Linked DNA regions of Bombyx mori. The protein of the gene in region 2 purifies or fractionates together with the protein of the main gene of each other region. This does not show direct contact. Links are inferred from orthologs where the notes say so. Each region holds a gene or a part of one and is shown on either strand. Other genes may lie near its edges.

Evidence for each region. Proteins that work in one complex are often made in the same cells at the same time.
Region 1: the proteins of protein phosphatase methylesterase 1 (region 2) and serine/threonine-protein phosphatase 4 catalytic subunit purify together in Homo sapiens (affinity purification with mass spectrometry; 3 studies listed by BioGRID and IntAct, with this or other methods). This does not show direct contact. The link is inferred for Bombyx mori from reciprocal best matches to the Homo sapiens genes PPME1 and PPP4C.

The regions. Positions count from the first base shown.
Region 1 is NC_085122.1:4,603,082-4,607,309, reverse strand, and holds the start of serine/threonine-protein phosphatase 4 catalytic subunit, read left to right. Parts: upstream 1-1,428; 5' UTR 1,429-2,025; intron 2,026-2,158; 5' UTR 2,159-2,181; coding exon 2,182-2,331; intron 2,332-2,754; coding exon 2,755-2,907; intron 2,908-3,946; coding exon 3,947-4,065; intron 4,066-4,228. Other genes in the region: flotillin-2, read right to left, coding at 1,158-1,206. UniProt on the Homo sapiens protein: Protein phosphatase that is involved in many processes such as microtubule organization at centrosomes, maturation of spliceosomal snRNPs, apoptosis, DNA repair, tumor necrosis factor (TNF)-alpha signaling, activation of c-Jun N-terminal kinase MAPK8, regulation of histone acetylation, DNA damage checkpoint signaling, NF-kappa-B activation and cell migration.
Region 2 is NC_085113.1:11,193,154-11,199,282, forward strand, and holds the start of protein phosphatase methylesterase 1, read left to right. Parts: upstream 1-2,146; 5' UTR 2,147-2,258; coding exon 2,259-2,332; intron 2,333-2,354; exon of another isoform or gene 2,355-2,476; coding exon of another isoform or gene 2,477-2,478; intron 2,479-2,548; coding exon 2,549-2,750; intron 2,751-3,922; coding exon 3,923-4,032; intron 4,033-4,356; coding exon 4,357-4,514; intron 4,515-5,190; coding exon 5,191-5,271; intron 5,272-6,129. Other genes in the region: zinc finger protein with KRAB and SCAN domains 8, read right to left, coding at 1,015-1,282, 1,581-1,745. UniProt on the Homo sapiens protein: Demethylates proteins that have been reversibly carboxymethylated. Demethylates PPP2CB (in vitro) and PPP2CA. Binding to PPP2CA displaces the manganese ion and inactivates the enzyme.

The DNA.
Region 1 (4,228 bases), on a different chromosome or scaffold from region 2:
TAAATTTAAATTCATCTTCCTCTCACAGGTTAGTATTTGGGTTGTTTTGTCTACCAAAACTACTGTGATGACTTATCAGCTGGTGGGCTTTAAGCTTGTCTGCCCTGCTACAGCAAAAAATGAGTCTTATTATATTATGATAAGTGGCGATGCCTGCATCAAGATTTATTTAATGTTGTTCAGCAATAAATAATAATTAATTATCGTTTATAGATTAAGAAATAAGAAGTTACATTGCTGGATAATAGCAAGGGCCAAGAGTCATTTTTTGGAAATGTCATTATATCAAATGCACATAATAAAAAAAATTCTTAACATCAGATTTAGAAATCGATAAGGATATCAAAAGTATGATATGAAACAGAAAAATTTACTCTTGATCCAAATTTACTATTTTCAATTATTGCTCTATTTTTGTTTCATGTCATACGACACTAAAGCCACACCAAAATTAGAATTACAGTGACCAGGCAGTAGGCAGCAGCTCGGTAGTGGTCCATTACTCCAGTAACTACTCACCATCAGGTGGGCTGTATGCCTACTGCCTACAAGGCAATGAAAAAATAAAAATGGTAAATGTCATGCGTAGAAAAATCAAAATCATCATGAATGCAATGTCTCAGCTGCATAAGATTTGGGCAGACAGGTAAAAAATATTAATGATAAATTAAATAACATGTATTAGGTCATTTTTTCTTTGGTCTAATCAACACAAATGATAAAGATAAATTTGTCTATTTTCCTTTTGTTTTTTTCTAATGACACTGATACAATTTTCCTTACAGCATCTAATTTGACGAAATTCAATGATATTAAATGTACGTTATATGAAAATTAATTAAATTTATGATGAAAAGTGGGAGTAAATTAGTATTGATTACCAAAAGTTTAAATACAGTATATCTAATGAAATCACTTTTACAAAATAAACACTGAAAATAAAATTCAGTATACAAGGACAAAAATGTAATAGAAATGTTAGATATCTGTTTATGTCATTTTTTAACACTTACATACTTTTTAGTGCTGTAATAATTTAGGTAGTGAATAATACCTACTATTACCTACTGAAATATTTGTGAAACTAAATTAGGCGCACTTAATATTAAGATAATATGAACAGAAATGGTTCGGTTTTAGTGAATTATATGACATACCTGAAACTATTAGCGCCTCGTTAGGACCGACAGTGTGGATGTTGCCCATTTTGAATCCTTTTACAGTGACTTTCACGATACACACACTGCACTTCACAACTAAAACGATAACAAACTTGTTTAATTTACCGAAAAATCAATAAATATAAAAACAACAGTGACAATGAACGAACCGAATGAATGTCATTAATGATAACTACACCCATTCACCATCCCACCCACCCTTTTTTTTACGGGATTTTATAGCCTGGTAATTTTAGCCTAGCTATGGTTTTTTTTGGCGGGAACGCGAGGAGTGAAGTTGTGTGATTTGTTTTATTTTGTCTATTTAGTGTTTCTTCGGGTTTAAATGTGTAATAATGGTGGTTTATTAACCGTTTAATATCTGTGAAAGTGCACAAATGTGGGAAAATGAAACAAAGCCGCTGGACGTAACTTCTCGGGATCCTCCAAAAAGTCCACTGAAAAATCTTAGTAAATGACCACCATTTTACTGAGATTAGATTTCATCTCATATCATCTCATTTAATTTCATCCCAGTTGATTAATGTCTCAAATTAATCATTTTCATTTCATTTCACTCCATAATATCATTTTTCATAAAATTAAGAATATAGATTAAAATAAGACATGACTTAAAGGTCTCAGTTACCAGGTCATAAAATCTCTTAAAAAAAAAAAAAAAAGCTACCAACCAGCCATAGCATATCTGATACAGTAAATATATTTGAGCCATAGACTAAACACAATTCTATATACTACGGTCAATGGCGGATGCGTTAGAATTGTCGAACGAAAGTATTGTAATAATTGAGATATCAGTAACGAAATTAGATAAAAACATTCAACTGTTGTTGAAATAGACATTGTAAGTACTATACAATAAAATTATCTTCATTGTCTTTATAACCTAACAATTTGGTGGTTCGTTGTGTTCTGGTTTATCCCCACTGAAAGAATGCCCAATTTTTCTATGTAAACTGAAATGTGTATCTCTTAAGGTAACGTGACCGAGTGTTTTAACATGTCTGATACGAGCGATCTCGATCGTCAGATCGAACAGCTGAAAAGATGTGAGATTATAATGGAAGCAGAAGTAAAAGCCCTATGCGCTAAAGCTCGAGAAATTTTGGTAGAAGAAAGTAACGTTCAAAGAGTGGATTCGCCCGTAACGGTAATGTATATTATGTAAATATTCACAATATATTCAAATAATAATGCTATCATTGTGCTATCAAATGATTTCACAAATTTAAATTACACATATTTATATGTTAATAAGTTCTTTATAACCCATAACAACATATCAAATTGCAGTAATTCTTTTATGAATCATAATAATATGCGTAATAATAAAGAAATTGTAATTGTAAATGTAATGAATTGTTACGTTTGCTTAGTATACATTGAATGTTATAAGTATCTTATAAAAAATAAACCATTCTCAACTATTAAGTGAACAAATATTCAAGTGAAATCAAAATTTATTAAACCATGAAAGCTTGTGAGATGTAACAGAAAATTCAAATCAATATACATATAAGTAAATCCTCTGCATGAACATGGGAAATGACACAATAATATATTTTATCCATAGGTTTGTGGAGACATACATGGACAGTTTTATGATCTAAAGGAACTTTTCAAAGTTGGAGGTGATGTACCCGAAACAAATTATTTATTTATGGGAGACTTTGTGGACAGAGGATTTTATTCTGTTGAAACTTTCTTATTGTTACTTGCACTAAAGGTAATTTTTAACATTATTATTGAACAATAATCACACATTAATTACATTGCATTAGTATCTCAAGAGTGAACATTATGATCTTTATTGATACGTCAGAAGTTGCCTGTTCTCTTGCCTCGAGCTCTTGTTTGAAAAGCGTATGCAAATTAATGATTCAGATTGTGTTTTACGATTTATTCACCTTGCTTATAACCATGAATCTTTGAGTCATGACTCATCCAGTTCTCTCCAGTATGATTAAAATACTATAGTACTCTATATAAAAGGGAAGAAGACCATAGCAACTAAACTGACCTCTTGCAACTCTAAGGAGCTTCTAATTGATACCTGTTGAATGTTTTAGTGGCTCCCATGTTTCATCACTGTGCACGGATATAAAGTATACATGAGTGCCCACAAGTTTTAAATCATTATTAATGTCTACTAAAGTAAATCATATAATATACATGATTGTTTAAAGTAGCAGTCATAAAATGGTAGTAGCTTATATGGAAGCTGAGTTGACACTGGCCTGTCTTATATTAAGCTAAGTCCATAGAAGAATTGTACATTTCATTCAAAAAGAATTGGAAAAACAGTGTTTGCATTTCAGGCAACAGTACTTATTTTCTCTGCAACAAAAATAATAAATATAGTAAATAAAATACAGTAAAGCTAGTTTTGCCTTAAGAAAACATAAAAATGTACCTGAAACATAGTTTTTATTATAATATTGGGAAGAAGATAGAACAGACTTATCAATAGTTTCAGTAATATGATCAACCAATTTCGGACCACCCAAACACTTTCATATTTATAAAATACATAAATTTTTATATCAATATTGTTGAAACTACTTCTAAGGTTTAATCTCTCATTTTTTATTGCCATGAAAACCTTTGGAAATAATATAATGACAATGTAATATGCAAGACTAAACCATATAAGCTTATAACCTCTGACTCTCGAAAAGTTTAGATAGATGTGGTTAAATAGCAAAAAATAACATACTAACTGAATTAAACTAAATTTTTAAAGTTGTATTATATTTAAAATTTAGGTTAGGTATCCAGATCGCATAACACTCATCAGAGGAAATCATGAATCGAGACAAATCACACAGGTTTATGGTTTCTACGATGAGTGCCTTAGGAAATATGGTTCCATCACTGTGTGGAGGTTAGTGGCTGATATTCAAAATACATAATTTCATTGGATGCTACTTATTAACATATGTTTGCAACTGACTACCACTATCAAAAAGTAATATTATGTGCTCAAAATCAAACCTGCAAAAGTAATAAACTGCACAATTACTAGTGTTAGGACGTCATGTTAGTCC
Region 2 (6,129 bases):
TTCCCTAGATAGGTGGATGGCTAGATGATATTGTTCCTTCATTAGAAGTCATGTCTGAACATTGGGTCAAGATCATATTACATTAGAAAATGTTATACTAGAGTATGGAATTTGAACGCCATAGTCCATAATATCAAATCCTACTACCATCACAGGTTGATCAGGTATTTTAAATTACTGTTTACATTAAGATAACTTACATTATGTACATTAAGATAACTTAATTGGAATTAACTTTGATGACATTTTTAATTAGATAGGTAATTCTTATCAATTTGTTAACAAATTGATTAATAATATTTTTTTTCGGTAGGCAGCGGCTTGGCTCTGCCCTTGGCATTGCTGAAGTCCATGGGCGACGGTAACCACTCACCATCAGGTGGGCCGTATGCTCGTCTGCCTAAAAGACAATAAAAATAAAAAAAAAGATCAAAATATTTTCAGTCATTATGATGCTTTGTTGGTAAAAACCTTATTCAGTGATTACTGGAGCTCATTAACATCACAAGGTGAAAGTTGTCACCTGTCTTGAGACTGTTTGAGTATCAATTATGTTGCATTTATTTTTAAAATATAAATTTGGCTCCAACACCTTTGATTTTGCCAATGTCAAAGTATGAACAAAAATGGCAGGTGCTTAGAGAGAAAAAAAATACTAAATACAAATAAATTTGATCAGTTTTGCCATAAGCATATCTGTGATTTTAAGACAAACAAATTTATGTTACTAACTACTTTAAAGATAAATATTATTAGCAGATAAAAATTTACACAGAACATTTACATGTTTAGAATAAAGTTAATAAAATTATGTTGAATTATGACTGTCTCACCCGTCAAATTGGAATGGCTGACTTTGCCAGTGAAATAGCCAGGATGGTGGTACTTTCACATTTATGCTATCAAAATACTTTATCACCAAGCTTCAACTAACCATGCTAAGAGCTCAATATCTTGAGAATTGGAGATCTAAGCTTCCAGTATGAACATTTGAAAATGAACATAGTTACTTACCAGTTTTGATATCGTTTTTAATACCATCTTCATCTGATACACAAGATGGTTTAGTATCATCTAGACTATCACTTTCCCTTTTAAGCTCATTGTATTCCTGTTTTATATCTTGATTGGGAATACTATTTAATTCTATGCCATTTTGCGATATGACATTCCGTAATTCAACATCACTTTTCTCGCATTGTAAGTTGAAGGCGTACACTTTTTTCAACTGTCGACTGCAGTCTTTGCAGATGCCTCGAGGTAGTCCGTCATCAACTATTGGCTAAAATTATTTTTAAATAAATGACTCATTATTTTTCTCTACGATATCTTTAATTTAGATTCGAAACTAGTTGTTTCTGTTACATTCTTGTTTGTTATCAAAATTTGACGCCACTATGCAAATTTACTCGGTTTCATAATGAAGCTAGTATTTTTTGGTAATTAATGAAGTTAATTTAAAACAACAAAGCTTGTTATCTTAAGTGTTTACGGGAGTTTTATTCAAATTTAGTTTTTCATTATCATTTTCCAGAGAACGATTGCGTTTAATTTTTTTTCAAATTTCCATTCTAACGTACCTTTAATTTCGTACAACTAGCCAACATTTCACTGTATAACGTTTTTCTTTTCACATAGTAACAGGTAAAAATATCGAAAATTTGTTTGCTTGTTTGTAAGCATATTCTGCACATTGTTTTCAGATTAAGATAGGTCACTGACGACTCGGAACTATTCGACATCATCAGTACTACACTAATTTGAAACTTACATTAATAATAAATCAAAACATTTACATTTCTTTTTAAAAAAAAAATTAATTACAAAATTGGTAATCGAAACACAACACCACACAAACAATGTCAAGTTGCGTTTAATTTTTTTGTGTTCAAATAAATAGGTCATAATGTTGGTAATTTTAAGATAAAATGATTAGAAAAATAAGTTGCACGCGTATTTTTACAGAATTAATTTAACTCACTGTACTAAAAATCGTAAACATATATTACCAAAAAATCTAATTTCGTTTTATTACAAGAATCACTCTTGGCAGATGGGAGTATGCAAGAATAAAACGATCAATTTTAGTCGATTGTCACATCTATTTTATACATCAAATTTAGAGCTCAACTCAAAGAAACGCTTCGGATTTCTGACAGCTAGATAAAATGTCGGCGTTCGAGTAAATGTCATCTGTGCTGTTTGTTTTCGAAAATTGTTGAATTATAGCAAAACAACAGGTTACTTAAACTAAAACCATGTCGACATTGCAAAAGACTATTATGAAAAATAAACTGCCACCAAGATGTCCTAAAACGTCTGGTGTATCCAAGTATGTTTGACATTCCGCTTAGAATATCTTGAAATTTGACAGACTTCTTTGAGTATTAAATTTTAACTGTGTATTTTAATTAAGATTCGATTAGAAATCTTCAGTAATCTAACGAAAAACACTAGTTCATAAACCATAAATAAAATGTACTGTTTTTTTCTTAAAATTTCAGCAACAAATTATTATTGCGGTTTTTCAAATTCAATCGTATCTCAGGTTGGCGCCTTTCGGTGCTGGGCGCCGTAAAGACTATACACCAGTATCTTGGAAGCAGTATTTTGAAAGGTTCGTTGATGTGGAAACCGATGGAGGAACTTTCCGGGTGTACCTGTCGCCGGAGCCCGATCACCCTCAAAGACCTAGATTTGTAACTCTTCATGGAGGGGGATACTCGGGACTCAGCTGGGCATTGTTTACTGTAAGTTTTGAAATGTTTTGTTAATTACCCATCGGAAAAAATTGTAATAACTTATGAATCTGTTGGATGCTCACTATTAAGTTGTGGTATTTTTAACTTATATGTAGTTTGATATGGGATATTAAAAGCTTCAAAATTCTTCATTTTTAGCTGTCCTAATGTCGAAAAGGAATTCTTTAGCATAACCATGACACGATATTCAATTTCTAAGCTAACCATAAATAAATAACCGTGGTGGTGCCTTGTAATCAATATATGGGACAAGTTTTTATACTAGTGTTTTTTTTAGATTAGTTTTATTTTAGATTAGTGGATGACATAACAAAATTACACAGTGTGGTCACACTACAACTTTATTAATGTTGACTCGAACACTATTTAATATTTATGGACATTTTACTATGTGTGTATGATGTATGTATACACAAATCCTAACTAGTGGCAACTCTATTATCTAAAATTTATTGCGTTTTTTACTAACAAATGTTAGATTAGACTATTAGATGTTTTTACATTAAAATTGATTTTGCACTTCGATAAAGCGGCACGACACGAGAACCCTCTGATCGTGGCTGCCAGTAACTACATTCCCGACCTTGCGGACAGAATGGAAAGCAGTCGACGTCGCCCCAACCCGTCGCCTGCGACGAAGGGCTCGACGAGTAAATTAACCCACAGACACAGCCCACTGAGTTTCTCGCCGGATCTTCTCAGTGGGTCGCGTTTCCGATCCGGTGGTAGATTCTGTGAGCACGGCTCTTGCTAAGGTTCGTGCTAGCAACGTCATTAGGTTTGAGCCCCGTGAGCTCACCTACTAGTTGAGGTTACGCTGTCTGGCGGGTAGCCATCATACAACGCAAGATATTTGACAGATGCCTGAATCTTGCATATATACAAGTTCCGAACAACCACATTCGGACCATCGGTCTGCCGAGCAAATATCACCCGCTCGGTGAAAGATCTTCCCTTTGTCGTTAAACACCCCAAAGCTGACATAGCCTCTCAAGGCTATCAGCTTAGGTAGGAAAAAAAACGATTTTGTTTCTGCATCTTGTTTGATTACTACTAATGAAGTTGTAGAAACGAACGATTCTAAGAAATTAGTCTTCAAATCTAAAAGTCACAGTTTTATCTTCTAAGATCATTATCACATTTATTGTATTGTTTTACAGGAGGAAATCACAAACATGGTGCACTGCCAAGTTGTGTCAATAGACCTAAGGGGCCACGGTGAAACAAAAGCAAACGACTCTGATGATCTCAGCGCTGAAACATTGGTTAAGTGAGTATAATTAATTTTTAGTATCTATTTTCTAAGAATATGTAATAAAAATACCACATTATTAAAATGGTGATGAATAGAATCTTAGTTGTCTTTCATACAAAAAATAGCTGTGAAATAATATAATGAAAATAACAAGCACGAAATTACACAGTAAAAGTGGTTTAAGTCATATTTATGACTTGAGTAAATTAAAGATAATATTCTACATAATATATACTTCAGTTAAAAAATATAAAAATTTAAATTGGGACATGAAAACATATATAAATAGTCATAAGTTTTTATTGTTTATAATGAATCTTAAAACATTTTGATTTCCAGAGACGTTGAACAAGTGCTACACAAGTTGTACGGTGATAGCTTACCACCTATAATACTGGTAGGACATTCAATGGGAGGAGCTATAGCAGTTAGGACTGCTCTCCTACCAACACTAGAACCATTTGTGCAGGGAATAGCAGTGATTGATGTTGTCGAGGGTAAGAAATAGTTGAAAGATTTATAATAACTTGAACGGTGAAAAAGATTAATGTTGCACAGTTATCAAAATTCTGTTTTCATTTTGGTATTTCATTTATTATGAATTTCTAATGGCCACGAGATTTACTTCAGGAGCTAGACTGCGGTTTGTATTCAGTGCCGTGCACTTTTGTGATTATTTCAAAAGGTTAAATGCAGATTATCATGAAGTAGTATTGATTACAAATCACTAGTCATTATGCTAGATGCATTAGACTAGGCAATTATTATTAAGAGCCTATTGACAACAATCAATTTTCTTTGAAACATGAAGTAATATAACACAAAATAATATTCTAAACTTCACCAAAAGTAAGGGAAAACACAACTCAAACCGGAACACAACGGCTTTGTGCCAGTATAGGCAGGACAAGTGTATCAACCTCACAATCAGACAAGGTCCATTGGTTTTGTATAATTATAAACTTTGTGGGTCACATTACACCAGGAGATATTTTATAGTGGAACTTGAAAGTTATTACTACATCGCAATTCAATCTTGATCTACATAACTAAACCCATTATCTAATCTGTTAGGGCATGGATGGTACTAATTGTTCTTTTGTTACTTGTAAGATGATTATGAAGCTACCCTTATAGTACTTGTCATAATTATATCGAAGTTTCGTTCCGTAGGGATTCCACCAAACTGTACTGGAGCAGCCTGGTGGAGCATGCTCCACTCCTCTGGTTATGAGGAGAGACAGTTGCCCGAGAGTAGGTCGCATGGATTCATATTATATAGGAAATGCTTTTAGTTACTCAAAGTCAGTTGATTTCAGATATTAGAATTTGAAAGGCATTATAATAAACCTCATTTCCCAAAAGAAATTCACTTAGTATAAGTTTCCAAACATACAGTCAAATTAAGAAATTCTCACGGATCGTTTGGAACCCCTGGGTCTGCGGAGGGACTTCGGTTTCCTCTGTATTTGGTACTGTATGTTCCATGGGGAGCGCTCTGAGGAATTGTGTGAGATGGTTCCCTCATCTCCTTTTTATCATCGCACCTCCCGCCATCGGAGCAGAGTTCATCCATATTATCTGGAACCGCTGCGTTCATCGACAGTGCGTTTTCAGAGGTCTTTTTTGCCACATACCATCCGGCTATGGAATGAGCTCCCCTCCACGGTGTTTCCCGAGCGCTATGACATGTCTTTCTTCAAACGAGACTTGTGGAGGGTATGTAGGCAGCGGCTTGGCTCTGCCCCTAGCATTGTTGAAGTTCATGGGCGACGGTAACCACTCACCATCAGGTGGGCCGTATGCTCGTCTGCCTACAAGGGCAATAAAAAAATGTTAACTTATTTAGTTCTCTTAATTGGCTTTTAAAAGGTTATATTTTCGTATTTAAATGAGGAAAACCAAGAGGCTGAATTGTTAAAATTATTTCACTAAATGAGAAACGAAATAAAATGTCTAGCTCCTAAAGTATCTTTATTAGTATTATCTAATAGCACTTTGTAAATAGAAAATAAAAAATCAAATTTTTTCTTGCTTTTCTTTGCACATACTTACTCAGATGCTTATTTGGCATATTTTTGTGTTGTGTCGCCTTCTTCACGTTAAGAACAG